2 linked regions of the Tamandua tetradactyla genome follow. The protein of the gene in region 2 purifies or fractionates together with the protein of the main gene of each other region. This does not show direct contact. Links are inferred from orthologs where the notes say so. Each region holds a gene or a part of one and is shown on either strand. Other genes may lie near its edges.

The links.
Region 1: the proteins of ABCC1 (region 2) and VDAC3 fractionate together in Homo sapiens (co-fractionation; 3 studies listed by BioGRID). This does not show direct contact. The link is inferred for Tamandua tetradactyla from reciprocal best matches to the Homo sapiens genes ABCC1 and VDAC3.

What each region holds. Positions count from the first base shown.
Region 1 is NC_135329.1:17,993,140-18,000,647, forward strand, and holds the start of VDAC3 (non-selective voltage-gated ion channel VDAC3), read left to right. Parts: upstream 1-4,406; 5' UTR 4,407-4,614; intron 4,615-6,900; 5' UTR 6,901-6,902; coding exon 6,903-6,969; exon of another isoform or gene 6,970-7,010; intron 7,011-7,508. UniProt on the Homo sapiens protein: Non-selective voltage-gated ion channel that mediates the transport of anions and cations through the mitochondrion outer membrane and plasma membrane.
Region 2 is NC_135349.1:38,147,135-38,154,710, reverse strand, and holds the start of ABCC1 (multidrug resistance-associated protein 1), read right to left. Parts: upstream 3,046-7,576; 5' UTR 1,347-3,045; coding exon 1,251-1,346; intron 1-1,250.

The DNA.
Region 1 (7,508 bases), on a different chromosome or scaffold from region 2:
AGGGCATGGCCTATTGATTTGTGTAGTTGTGAAATTTGATTAGATTGAGATGTGACTCCACTCATTCAAGGTGGGCCTTGATAGTTTACAGGAGTCCTTAGGGGAGACATTACGAAGGAAGCTTAGATGCTTGCAGTGCTGACAGAGAGAGCAGATGCACATGAGACCCAGATATTTGGAGATGCCAGAATAAAATGCCGCTGGGGAAGCTGCTGGAAACCAGAAGCCAAGGTGCCAGTCATGTGCCTTCTCAGCTGAAACAGGTGTTCCAGACCCATTGGCCTTTCTTGAGTCAAGATATCTTTCTCTGGATGCCCTAGTTTGGACATTTTTATGGCCTTAGAACTGAAAACGTGCAACTTAGTAAATTCACTTTTCATAAGCTGTTTCAGGGTGGGCCACAGTGGCTCAGCAGGCAAAGTTCTCACCTGCCATGCTGGAGACCCAGGTTTGATTCCTGGTGCCTGCCCATGCCAAAAAATACAAAACAAAACACCCCCCGCCCCCGCCGGAAAAAACCATATGGATAGAAAAAGCAGTTCCATTTCTAGTATATTGCATTCTGGCAGTATTAACAAACCAATACCCCCTAGATTTCATAATCTTATAATATTCTTATGGTAGTTGAGTTACCAGATCTTCACAGTGGGGCCTCTGTTCTCATGTTATTTTCATTTCTGAGAGTAAACTATACAAATCTTCTGACATTTTTTTCCAAAAAGGCAACATAGGCAGATCAGAAGTTATCTTGACTTAAGTGGGTAATCTGTATTGGAACCTGCTCATGATGGGGCACCCATCTAATGGGTCTCCACACCCACAGGGCAATGATATTTTGGGTGTTTCCTCTTGTTTCAGCTGTGAGCATGGAGCCCTATAGATAATAAGCCTTAGCACACATCTCTCAAGTGAAGGAGTTCCTTCTCCGCTCTAAAATTCTGTACATTTTATAAGGGAAGAATACTGTTATCATGATTTTGACTGAGAGAGTATTTTCTATGCTTCCCAAGAATTCAGATCCAAGTGTGGGTGGGGGCATGAGAATTTGCAGTCACTTGCTGGTGTAGTTTCTGGAGGTGGCTAAGGCCAGGGTCTTGATGTGAACAGTGTGGTCACTGGAGCTGCATAACCCCCAGAAAAACATGTTTTTAAAGTTAAGTCATTCCTGTGGGTGTAAACCCAGTATAAGTAGGATCTTTTGATGAAGCTACTTCAGTTATAGCTTTTTTATATATATATACTTGAGGTGTGGTGCACCTCAACTGGGATTGATTTTTTTGTTTAACCTTTTTTATTGTATAACATAGCATATATATAAAGCAAAGAAATAAAAAAGCAATAGTTTTCACAGCACTGTTTAATAACTGTTTACAGAGTTTGTCATGGGCTACCACATGATCCTCTCATATTTTTCCTCCTAGCTGCTCCAGAATATAGGAGGCTAGAGGGCTTAAATACTTTATTATCATAATCTACTTTCTTTTCCTTCTTTCTTTGTGAACAATAACATATATACGAAAAAGCTATAAATTTCCAAGCACAGCACCACAATTAGTTGTAGAACATATTTTAGACTTTGACATGGGTTATAATTTCACAATTTTAGGTTTTTACTTCTAGCTGCTCTAAAATACTGGAGACTATAAGAGATATCATTTTAATGATTCAGCATTCATATTCAATTGTTAAATCCTATCTCTTATATATAATTCCACCATCACCTTTGATCTTTCCATACCTCTCATTGGGGTTGTTTGGGCTATGGCAAATTCTAAATTTTTGATATTGGAAGTGTCTGTCACTAGTATGGAGTAGGGAGATGGAACTATCTGATGTTCTGGAGAGGCTGGGCTAGGTTTCAGGACTTATCTGGACCAGGGACCCATCTGGAGGCTGTAGGTTTCCAGCAAGTTAACTCTAGTGCATTTGGGATTGATCTTAATCCTATTATTGGGATACTTTCTAAGAGAATGAAATTCACACAGGGAAAAAAAAAGCCACATAAGCATGAAGCTGAAAGCAACAAAACCTGAAAGAGAAGGGAGAGAGCAGCACACACCACCATGTGCTTTGCCATGTGGCAGAGGAGCCAAGGATCACTAACAGCTGGTCTTCAAGGAAGAAAACATTGCTTTAGGGATGCCTTGATTTGGTCATTTTTCTGGACTCTAACCACGAGCGAATACACTCCCATTGTTAAAGTCAAACCATTTCATGATATTTGCTTTGAGCAGCCTGGGCAACTAAAACAGACAGTTTATCAAAAACATTAATCTGGATCCAGCTAAATTGACAGGGCCAGAGGGACACGAAACAAAGGAAGGATTTCCTCCTTCATGACTGTTTTTCCTTCTCGGTTTCGCTCATCATCTTCCTGCTTCAAATGTCGTGAGAGAGAACAAGTCTCTGTGGATGATCTGGGAGTGGTGTTATTAGGTCCTTTCAGAAAAAAGATATTTGGATAACAGAAGAGGAAGAAAGGAATGTTGTCAAATTCCCATCCAAAGTGTTTATGACCTTAGAGGTACCTGTATATGACAAGGCCAGAGCTGAGCCAAAAAAAAAGGCTGAAGTTGTGACTCTAATGAACAAGTGTCCCGAGAAATAACTACATACATGAACAAATATCGTTTCTGCTTCGATTGCTTTTAAACTCATAATAATTTTCATGTTATTAACTAATGAATACTTTCCATATGCCAGGTAGATTGTTATGTGCTTTGGATGCATTACTTCTTTTAATATTCACTACAATCCTCTGAGGTAGATATTACTTAGTTCTGTTTAGGGATATGAAACTGAGGTAGAAAGGTTAAGTAGCTTGCCTAATACCACAGAGCTGGCAGCTTCTTTTGACTCTGAAACTCATTCCATTCAGCCTATTATGCTATACTGCCTTGCTTATGACATTTATCATATTCTGCCTCATTCAGTAGTTTTTCATCCAAGTCTTAGATTATTATGAGTCTCTTGGGGGTATTTATCTTATTTTTCTTTGGCTAACTTGAGATGCTTTACACACAGCAGGCAAATAGTATTTGGCTATTGATTTAAGTAAGCAGCCTGGTGTTGTGGACTGAACATCAGAGACTTTATATTATTTTTCTCCCCAATTTTTAAATTTTGAACATCTGAAAACTCATTGAAAAGTTTCAAGAATAGTGCTATGAACACCCATATACGTTTCATCTAGATCTTCCAATTCTTAACATACGTCACATTTACTTTTCCGGTCTCCCTTTCTCTTTTCCTGGACCATTTGAGAGTTATGTTGCAGACCACGCTATTTTACTACTACACACTTCAGTACTAATCTTTAAAAGCAGACATTTCTCTATAATCCAAATACTATTATTACCCAGAAATACTTTACATTGTTATGATACTAATATATGTTCTATATTCAAATTTCCCCATTTCCCTAATTAACCCAGTAAGGTTCCTTATTCATCTTTTTAAATTCAGGGGCCAATTTAGGACCAAGCATAGCTTTTAGTGTCCTGTCCTTCTTTTGTCTCCTATAGTCTAGAACAGTTAACCAGACTTTAAAAAAGAAAATTTTCATGACATTTACGTTTTTTAAGAGAATTGTTTTTTAGATTATACCTCCGTTAGGATTTGTCTGATTGTTTCTTTATGAATGACACGTTACACACTTTTGGCAAAAATATTACCTTTGCACTTTTTTCTGTGTATCCCATCACGGGGCACATGATGCCAGTCTGTTCCATCCCTGGGGATACTGAGTTTGATCACTTGGTTAAGGGTGATTTCTTTGGTGTAAAGGTATCCTTTTGTCTTTGTAATTTACTCTGTAATTTACAGGGTGATACTTCGAAACTGTAGGAATATCAATAGTCCACTCTCCATGGAAAATTTTTGCCCAAATCAGTTGTTAGTATGGTGGTTCCAACGCGGCCATTTACTATTTCTCCATAATTTCTTCCACATTCATTAGTTGGTATTCTTCTGTAAAGAACGTTCCCTTGCTTCTCCTCCCCTCCTTGGTTTTTAATCTACCGTTACTCGTGTGGCCTTGAATAAGTCACTTACCCCTCGGGACTTCTATTTTCTCATCTTTAAGATGAGCTGACCTAAGGGTCACATTTTCCAATTCTAGTCAGTGTGAGATGGGATTCCCATAAAGATCTGCAAGACATCCCCCAAGAATGAAACGGTCATGGCCTGGCGTGCCAGGCCACTACATCCATCTGCAGAGGAACCCCACATCCTCTTCTAGCGGATTTTAACTAGTGACCTCGAGGCGTTCACGCGACAGTCAACCCCTTCCAGGGCTAATAGGTGCGGTCCCCGGGCCTTTCCAGCACCGCGTCAACCCCCACCTCCCAGACACCTGCGCGCCGAGCCCTCCTGCGCACGCGCACACACGAAGCCAGACAGTTGGTGGTGTTTGTTCGCCCCAGCTGTTCTGCTCCTCATCCAGGCTGGCCGCGAGCGAGCCCTGCACGACACTGCGGCGCAAACGCGGTGCGGGACGGGAGTAGGGACGCGCAGGCGCCGCGGTGGGCGTGAGGTCGCGCAGGCGCGGACGGCGTTGGTTTGAAGAAGACCTTCAGCGTTGCCCGGGTGGATCCGAGACAGGCCCTGTAGGAGGTGAGGCGGGGCCGAAGCCGTGGGCCGGCTCGACCAGCGAAAGGGCCACGGGAGCGGTGGGTCGCGACAAAGCAGGGACCCGACGAGAGACGGACCTAACGGAGGGATAGGGAAGGAGAGAGCAGTCTAACGGGGCGTGATTGTGGCGCCGGCCAGGCGGGGCAGAGGAGAGCAGAAGGGGGCGGTGGTCCCTGTCAGAGACCTTGCTCTCCTTGCCGCCTCAGGTCCTGCGCGCTCTCTGTGGAAGAGGTGGTGCTCCGAGAGCAGAGCCTTGATCTTCCCCTCTTGCTAGTGTGCGGACAGGACTTTCTTTCCAGGAGTCAGGCTAGAAAGGAGGTTGGTTCCTAGGGAAGTTGAATCGTCGAACCTCAATCCCACCCCACCTCCGCCCCCAGCTTCCTCTCTGGAATAGTTGTCAAACATCTCGGCAACTATTCCGCTCCTTATGTCCAAAGAGTGTACGTGCAGCTTAAAAAGGACAAACGAGGAACAAAAGGAGCGCTATACTTAATGTCGTGTTAGTGATTGGGTAAAGCAGTATTACCTAGTTAACGCCTTCCCCCCCCTCTGTCTGCATGTAATGCAATACCAGTGTAATGTGCATATCAACAAACAAGAAGCGCATTTTATAGAGCTAATAGAAATATGTGACTATAGCTTTACTCTCGTGTAACATGAAGTTTCTGTGTCTCCTTGATTTTTTGCTTGATCATACCAGTAAGACATTTTCCATTAGAATCATGGACCAGAAGAAGTAAGCTTGAACTGGGCAGAATTGAGAATAGTTAGTAAACTACACCAGCTAACGTCTTTTGCAAATTATTTGGCAGTGGTTTTGAATAATAAGGAAAAATACTAAAAGACAAATAGTAGTTAGTACCCACATGTGTTTGGTGCTTCTAAACATTAACCAGTCTCTCGGGAGTAGATGAAAAACCAGATATGAAAAGCCTTAACATTTCTACTTGAATATATAGTGCCTGCTTTTCTATGCTTACCTCCCAAATTAGAGTTCTGACAAAATTTCAACAGATACCAGCATAATTTGTGATTAAAAAGAGTAATATCATCAAAATGAAATTGGAACTGTACTAAAAAAAAGTCTAGAATCGATCATTTGAGTACAAGGGATTGAATTGTAAAATAACTGTTCTGTAAGTAGACTATGAAACCCTATGGCTTAGAGCCTAGTTTTATTATGATATGAGTCAGTATATTTATATTGATATATTTGATAGGTTTAGGTTACAGAGTAATTTTAAATGAATTGCCAATTGATAAGTGTATTTTAAATGTATGCCATGTGCAGGTATGATGGTATGGGCAGAAATTTAGCAGAAAATTTAATTAAGAGTTAGGCTATCTAGAAGTAAATATTAGTTTGAATGTATAGGTAGTTCAGGCATAGGAACTGCAAATGCTAGCTGGTGCTCTGGTATAATAATCAGGCTAATGGGCCTGCTTGAGTGGTTCTGGATTTGGTTAGACATGGCTTTTGAGTTTACACGACTTGACAGAACAGAAACAACTGCAGAAAAACATTTCCCATTATAGAAAGAGGGCAAAGGAATGATATATTTGGCAGTGTTGATAGTGCTGAGAATTTGATATGAGGGTCAAGGTGAAAAGTTGGCTGAATCCTAAATAGGCAAGATAGAAAGCCAAGGCACCTTGGGTTTTGAAGGCTTTCACCTTAGGCTTTATACCAATTGTTGGTAAACTGATTGCTCCAGGTAGAATCCATTCTACTTCTGGTTAGTAAGTATGATTCTTGACTTCATTTTAAAAAGGGCTTTGAGAAACAGCATATTCTGGCTGAATCCATTTCATTTAGTATGGTAAATTCTTATTTTAAGAACTGAATTTCATCTTAATAATAATGTTAACCCTGAGGTTTTGATTGTATCTATTCTTAGAATTCTTTAAAAAATTTACCTCGTTGGCTCACATACGCTTTGGCTTCTATAATAGCCTGAAAAATGTTTTACTGAGATGAATTTGGGAAGTCCATTTTAACAAAGCATCTCCTTCAGGCTGTGAGAACTTTTTTTTTCTTTGGAAATGCAATCAGAAAAATGACCTCTGTGACTTGTGGGAAAACCCTTTTATTCCAGTGTTCTGGAAAGCTCTTTCTTTTTAAGGAGTAAAATGCCTTCTCTTAATCTGATTGCATAAGGGTATAAGCTTTAATGATGCAAAGGAAGAGACTGTATACCTTTTCTCACTATGGCTGAATAAATACTAAATGGTTATTTTTATTCCTTTGATCCCATTTTTCCTTGTAAGATATGTGTAACACACCGACTTACTGTGACCTAGGAAAGGCTGCCAAAGATGTCTTCAACAAAGGATATGGTAAATACGCTATTGTAAATTTCCACCTTGGGGAGTTTGAGGTCAGTGTTGAATTCCTACTATGTGCAAGATACTGTACTAGTAAAATAAGAGTAAGACAACATTAACCTACTTCACAAGATTTAAGGGGATAACATGTTATTAGACTTCATTTCTTAGGAATAGAGTCCCTTACAAGCAATACAAGCAATTTTATGTATACATACATACATAGGTAATATAAAATAATATAAATCAATAATATCTGTGTCTCCCTTGGCTAGCCCTGGGGGCAGTCAAGGCAGGGTATAATTTTTGTGTCCCTTCAAATATTGGTTGTGTTTTCATAAGAGTGAAGGTGCGGCTTTTTACTTCTTTGGAGCAACATATTCTTTGATCCCAAAAAGAAATTTATTTTTAGTTTTAAAACAATTAAATTCTTAATTTCCTGTGCTATGCACGTTTGATTTATTCGTTAGCTAGTAATGTTAATTGTATATATTAAGCTTGTATATTTATCAACATAATATTGGTTCTTGGAATGGTACATATTGCTTTCA
Region 2 (7,576 bases):
GGCCCTCTCCATTTGCCAGCTGCCTTCTGGTCTCAACAGTTCATTCCCAAGGCCAACTTGCCAGGCCAGGTCGATTTTGCCAAGTCTAGGCACAAAGGAGGCAATAAAGTCTCCTACTTCACCAAAGCACAGCCCTCTTTAAGGCCACGGCCACTGAGAAGCCGTGATTCCTGCCCAGCTTCGCCAGAGAAACACTGGCTACAGGCACAATAGTCCTTCCAAATCACACACACGGAGAGGATTTGCCTGGCAAAGGTGTCATTTCAACCACTTCGGCTTCAGGGTCCCTGAGCATCCCCCTCACCAGTTTCTAAGGTACTCAAGGGGCAAAGAATATCTTGAATTCACATCCACACGTTAAAACTCCTGCACAGGTTTATTGCAGATCTGGCATTATCTGTGGGAACAGGCCTCAAAACCTACATGCAGGCTGCAGATGTAAAGGGTTACTGATAAAACCATGCAGGAGAAAACAATCACATAAGCAAGTGACTGATCAACTGCAATACTCCCCAAAAGATGGCTTGTGCACACCTCTGGCAGCATGTGCGTACGACTAAGCCCAGGGTTTCCAAATCACAGCACTTCTGTCATTCGGGGCTGGACAATTCTCTTGTGGGGGGCTGTTCTGGACACTGTAGGGTTAAACGTTAAGCAGCATCCCCGGCGTCTACCCACTGGATGCCAGTAGGCCCTCCCTGCTTTTCCCACTCCGCACTGGGGCAAGCAAAAACTGTTTCCAGATGCGGCCAAATGTCCACTGGAAAGCAAAACGGCCTGGGTTGAGAATCACTGATCTTGTTAGTACGCAGAATATCTTTTCCAAATTGTACTTTAGTGATGTATTTATTTTAATAGCTACAGGGTAAACACACGAAGATCACCAACCGTGATTTCAGATATTCTAAAGTGATATGAAACTTCCTTTGGAGACAAATTTATTTAGGTTTAAAAAAAATTAAATTAATTTAAAGCATTATGTAAATACATATGTAGTATGTGCTGGCTGGCTTACTCAACAGCCTTTCCCAACTCCCTTCTTCTTTGCTGTTTCTCACTAGAGGTATAAAACCAAATGCTCACTTTCCGTGCCTCCCATACACATTAAAAGTCATCTTCAGATCCAGCTCCAGCCAGGAGACGTGAGCAGACATCTATCATGTGCAGAGAAGGGCTTTCGGGAAACCTTTTTACTTACTTAACTGAATAAAAAGGTCAAACGTGGCCAATTTGCTCTTCTTGCTTCCTACCTTGAATCCAGTTGTGACTGTTAGAGCTAAAGCAGCCATTTTGGGTCCTTGAGGGAAAAACAAAGAAAATGGCAAAGACATCAATTCTGACACCATTGTGTCACTAACCAAAGGCCAGCAATGCCTGCCTAACTCTAGATCTCTCGATATGTCAGAAAAAGGAATACCTTTAATGTTTAGGCCACTGGAATCAGGCTGTTTCTTTCAGCAGAATGCAATTCTAACAGATATGTGCTGAAATATAGTTGTCAACATCATAACAATACACAAATGACTGAGCTGAAGCACAGTGGAGAGAAAGGCAAGCTTCAAGTTCCAACTGCCAGGTCTGAATACCGTCTATATTCCTTGCTAGTTTTGTGACTTTGGGCCAATGTGACTACATCTCAGTTTCCCCTTCTATTAAAAAACAGATCATAAAAGCATCTACCGAACACTAGTTTGAGCCTCAAACAAGATATGTACAAGGAGGGCTTAGAAAACTACTTGATCTGGAGTAATTCTCAATACATGTTATTTTACTTATTAATAAAAAGTTTATTAAATAATAATAAACCAAAGGCACAAAGTAGAGATAAGAATAAAGCAAAGACTTGAATTGATTTCGTTATTGGTTCTTTCCAACTCTTGGGAAGGACGCTGCCTTTGAGGATAATATTTAAAAGGTAGTATAGGAGTTAGAGGCTGAACAAGCAGGGGAGAAGAGACAGCCACAGCTTCCTGGTGAATTCGAGACCTGTAGGGCCAGATTCCAGCCTCTTCTTGCCTTTCCCCTCCCAGCGCTGCTCTCTGAGCTCCAGCCACACTATCCGAGTTGAGCTGGGGCTTCTGCACATGCTTTTCCCACTGCCTGGAATACTCTCACGTTCTGTTTTTGCCCATGTAGCGGAAACTGCTAGCTGCGCACCAATATCCCTTCTCCCCTGATGCCCAGTAATAGAATCCTCAGTAGGGCGCATGCGCGTCCGAAGGGAAACTACATTTCCCAGCCTCCCTGGCCGCTCCGTGGCCATATGACTAAACGCAGGCCAGTGGGGAGAAGTGATGTGGGCAACTTCCAGGCTGTGCCCTGCTCAGCCCTTTCCCACTGGCTGCAACGTGTCCCTGAGGGTGGGCCACCTGGCTCCATGCAGAGGACAGCAGCACCCTGGGGCAGCAGAGCCACGAGATCGGGGGGCCTGGGTCCCGCAATTTGGGGGGCAAGAGCAGTCATACCAGCTGGCATTGTTACATGAGAGAGAAATTAACTTCTATCGTAAGCCACAGTATCTTGGGTCTTGGCCACAAACGGCCCCAATACAGGCTTCTCCCTTGGGGAGATTCTCCTTTCCTCTCCGAACAGATCAAACCCCTCAACTGCACTCACTGAGTACCACGAAGCTCCCTTTCATCACACCTCATGGTTCCGATTTTCCATTTATTTGTCTGTCTCCCCCACAAGACTGGAAGCTCAAAGAGGGCAGGGAGCTCCGCCTCCGCACTGCTGGAGTCCCAGAGCACAGACATGGGGGCCCTCAAAGCTTGAGTGGGGTCAAGCGGTGAGACCAGCGAGGTTCAGGCCCCATCCTTTAGCACAATTCACATCCTGGGGTACAGACCCTCTGAGGTTCTGTCTCCCACGAGGGGGCATCTAAGATAACCTAAAATGTACCCCTTTCAACACTCGTCACTCAAGCCTTGCCTCTTGCTTTCTCCAGGACCTCCCTGTCCACAGAGGTTAAAGAGAAAGACTCTGGCCATCTGCCTCAAGAGGGAACAAGTATTAGTAAATTAATTAGGTTCATGTTTACATTTCATCTTCAAGTAGATATCTGTTAATTTTTAAAAAGTCCTGTATCCAAGATGTACTAGTAAATGAAAACAAAAATAAAGAAAAGAACATGCTTTCATAGGATCCCATTCTTGATTTTTTAAACATTATATATTTAAGATATACATTAAAGAGAGACTGAAGGGCGGGCCACGGTGGCTTAGCAGGCAGAGCTCTCGCCTGCCACGCCAGAGACCCGGGTACAGTTCCCAGTGCCTGTCCATGCAAAAAAAAAAAAAAACATGAAAAAGAGAGACGGAAAATTAAAATCTGCCAATAAAAGATTATCTCTAGAAGAGTGTCATTATGAGAGATTCTCCCTTCAGGCCATGTCCATTTCTGTACTCTTTCATTTAAACTGTATCTCTCATACTGGCAGACAAAGAAAAGAATAAGTACAAGAACAGAAAAAAAAAAACCCACTCAGTAATTCAATCATTACCAATTATTTTAGTAAGAGAAAACCTGGAACTTTCCAAATATGTAAATGCCAGCAGCTCTGGAAGTTGCCACATTCTACCTTCACTCATGTGCCATGGATTTTGGTATTTAAGCAAGTTTCTCGACTCCCCAGTTGCAAATAAAACTTCTGGGTGAGTGTCCCCATACACGAGCCCAATTGCAGAGCTGACACCAGATACCCATCTTGTCCGGACGAGTCCTTGGAATGCTCCACCCAGATTGGGCACAGACACCCAACAACGGCTGGATGCATCACCTCAAGTGGTCTCGAATGCTGGTGGCGGGCTTCTGACCCCTGGGACCCAGTCTCCATCCCAGCCTACTCTGCAAGTGCCCAGAGACTGCCAAGGGATGAGAAGCCAGCAGAAAATCGCCACATCAGAAAGCACCAAGCCACTGGGCTCAAATGTCCCCCACTGTCCCCTTTCTGTTCATCACCACGGCTGGCATCTGTGGAACCCCTACGACATGCCAGCCCCTTAGCACCCTCTACGTGGTCACTCCTTTCTTCCTCAGGGCCCCATAAGAGCTGCAGCATGATCCTTATCCCCACTTTACAGGTGAGGAAATGGAGGTTCCCAGAAGGTAAGTGACTTGGGCCACATTTGCCCACTGGGAAGTGGCAGGACCACTTTCAAACCCAGGCTCCCTAACCAGCCCTCCTGAGCCCAGTTATCGACCTCCCTGGCTCTCTTTGGAGATGTACCTTCTCCTTGTCCGAGCATCTCTAGACCTTCCACCGCCCAGGCCTGTCCCTCCCCTGAGACTCTTCCAAGAATAAAGCGGGTCTGACCCAGGTGAGCCCTTTCTCCAACTCTGCCCCCAACATGGAGGGCGAAACAACCTACCTAGTGCACAGGTCTGGGGTCAGGGGAGCAAAATATGGGAGTGCCCCATTAATCTATAACTGCAGTTCCCAGACAGATCATCATCTAACATGTATGTCTGCTCCTCAACCCTGGGTTGGTGAATTAATGCTCTTAAGGAAGAAGTTCGATAAATGGGCCAGAGTAGCACACCCAAATGAGGAATATGTTGTCGCCAAAATCCGAAGAGACCAACTAGGCGTTGTGCCTCTTTTCTGGTCGTAGGAGGGACCAGATGCAGCAACTTATCCTTCACCTTAGAAGGATTGGAGGGATATCTTGACATGCCCCACACCACTGGACACCTAGAAATTTCACTGAGGTGGAAGGCCCCTGCATTTTTGTTGGATTTATCTCCCATCCTCTGATACGCAAATGCCCTACCAGTAAGTCTAAAGTAGTTGCTACTTCTTGCTCACTAGGTCTGATCAACATGATATCATCAGTATAGTGGACCAGGGTGATATCTTATGGGAGGGAGAAACGATCAAGGTCTCTGCGAACAAGATTATGACATAGGGCTGGAGAGTTGATACACCCCTGAGGCAGGACAGTGAAAGTATATTGCTGACCTTGCCCACTGAAAGCAAACTGTTTCTGGTGGTCCCTACTAACAGCTATCGAGCAAAAAGTATTTTCCAGATCAATAGCTGTATACCAGGTACCAGGGGATGTATTGATTTACTCAATACCAGGTACCAGGGGATATACTGATTTGCTCAAGTAATGATAACACATCTTGAACAGCAGTTCCAATTGGAGTTACTAGCTGGTTGAGCTTACCACCTGGTTGAGCTTACAATAATCCACTGTCATCCTCCAAGACCCATCTGTTTTCTGCACAGGCCAAATAGGAGAGTTGAATGGGGATGTGGTGGGAATCACCACCCCTGCATCCTTCAAGTACTTAAGAGTGGCAGTAATTCCTCCAGAAATCCGGTATTGCTTCTGATTTACTATTTTGTTAGGTAGGGGCAGTTCTAGTGGCTTCCACTTGGCCTTTCCCACAATAACAGCCCTCACTGCACAAGTCAGAGAACCAATGTGGAGATTCTGCCAGTTGCTCAGTATGTCTATACCAATTATACATTCTGGAACTTGGGAAATAACAACAGACTGGGTCCGGGGGCCCATTGGACCCACTGTGAGACAGACCTGAGCTAAAACTCCATTGATCACCTGGCCTCCATAAGCTCCCACTCTGACTGGTGGACCAGAGTGACATTTGGGGTCCCTTGGAATCAATGTCACTTCTGAACCAGTGTCTAATAATCCCTGAAATATCTGATCATTTCCTTTTCCCCAATGCACAGCTACCCTGGTAAAAGGTCATCAACCTCCTTCGGGAAGGCTTGGAGGAAGATTAACAGTATAAATTTGTAGCACTATAACAGGGTTCTCCCCCAAAGGGACCTGGCCTCCCCTTCATTCAAAGGGCTCTGGGTCTGTAAACTGTCTCAAGTCTGGAAATTGATTAAGGGGCCGTGACTCTGTGTTTTTATAATTCAGGTTAGACTTCTGTTGACTTGACCTAGAACTCTTATGTTTATACAGATCAAACAAGAATTTAGTAGACTGCCCATCTACTGTATTTCTAGGTACCCATGATTTACTAGCCAATGCCACAAATCTCTGCAAGTCATATAATTTTGACTCCTGCTTTTTGAGTTTGCTATCTATTATAATGGCCATGTCCACCCTGTCCTTGGCGATTAAGTGTTGCCACCTGGCTTCTGCCAACTTGGGATCCAGTCATCCCCATTGTATTTAAGGATTCCAGTTCAGTGACAGCCGTTTCCACAGTAATATCTGACTTACAGAAAAGTGTAACTCCAGAGCTCTTCAGGGATGATGGCGCTAGTCTAACAAATTTTTTTCTCACTGTTCTGGTAAAATGTGCATCCTCCGGACATTCCTGGGGTGTAAGAGCAGGCTTTGCATGATAAATCCACTCTAACATTCCAATCTCTCTACGCCTCTGGATCCCCTCATCTACATTATACCAGAGCAGTTCTGGCATTTCAACTTCAGGTAATGTCGGCCACCCTTTGACCCATGTACCGACCAACAAACTGTTAAAACCTTTTCAAACCCCTCGAGCTATAACATTGAATGCAGAATCTCTGCCTAGTGGGCCCATATCAATAAACTCAGCCTGATCCAGCCTTATATTCCTCCCACCATTATCCCACACCCTTAAAATCCATTGCCACACACATTCCCCTGATTTCTGTCCATATAAATTGGAAAACTCACACAGTTCTTTTGTAGTATAACATACCTCCACATGTGTGATACCTCACCTTTAGGGGCCTGTTGGGACTTTAGTCTAGTTATAGGTCTGTAAGAAATGAGGGGCTATAGGGGTGGGTGGTGAAAAGAATTAGAAATATCTTCCAAGCCATTTGCTTCAGGGCATTCATTTGCAGTTTCAACTGGTGAAACAGGATTAATCCCTCTAGGGCTAATCCTTCAGGAGGAGGTTGAGTGGCCAACCCCTCAAGGCAGGTTGGAGGTGGGGCGGCTGTGTCCTCGGGACAGACTATTACAGGATTATCTAGAGAAGACTCAGTATGACCTAGGGTTTCAACTTCACCCCAACACCATTATCAATCCATGTCACCATCCCATTTTCCAGGTCCCACTCCTTTCCAATCAATGCCCTCACTTTAACGGCAGACACCATGCAAGACTGAGATTTCAGTTTATGTTGCAAAGTTGCTACTCTAACAAATAAGATTCTGAGTCTGATTTTCAGAGATCTCAAGTCTACGGCTACAGGAAATAAGATTTTTCCTTCAGGATACTCATAGAAACCTCTACATCTATTATATGGCACTTAAGCTTCTCATTTGAAACCTTAAACCCATCCCTTTCACTCCTTAATATATCCAGTGTATCAAACAACAACCAGCCAACATCTCCATACCTCTTAATTCCACAAAACTCCATAAAGGTATCAAAAACATTACCCCCAGAGCCTTCACATAAGCGAAGTATTAGGAGAATCAAATGGTGATATTTTGACTATCTCTTTTGCCAACTCACTCCATGGATTGGGAGTGTCATTCTGATTATGGGAATCAGCGCCCTTAGTACCCTTGAGTCAAGTCAGAGTAGAAAACCATTCATAAAAACCCATTTTTAAGATTCTGTTTCTTATGAACCACTCCTGGTAGTATGCTGTA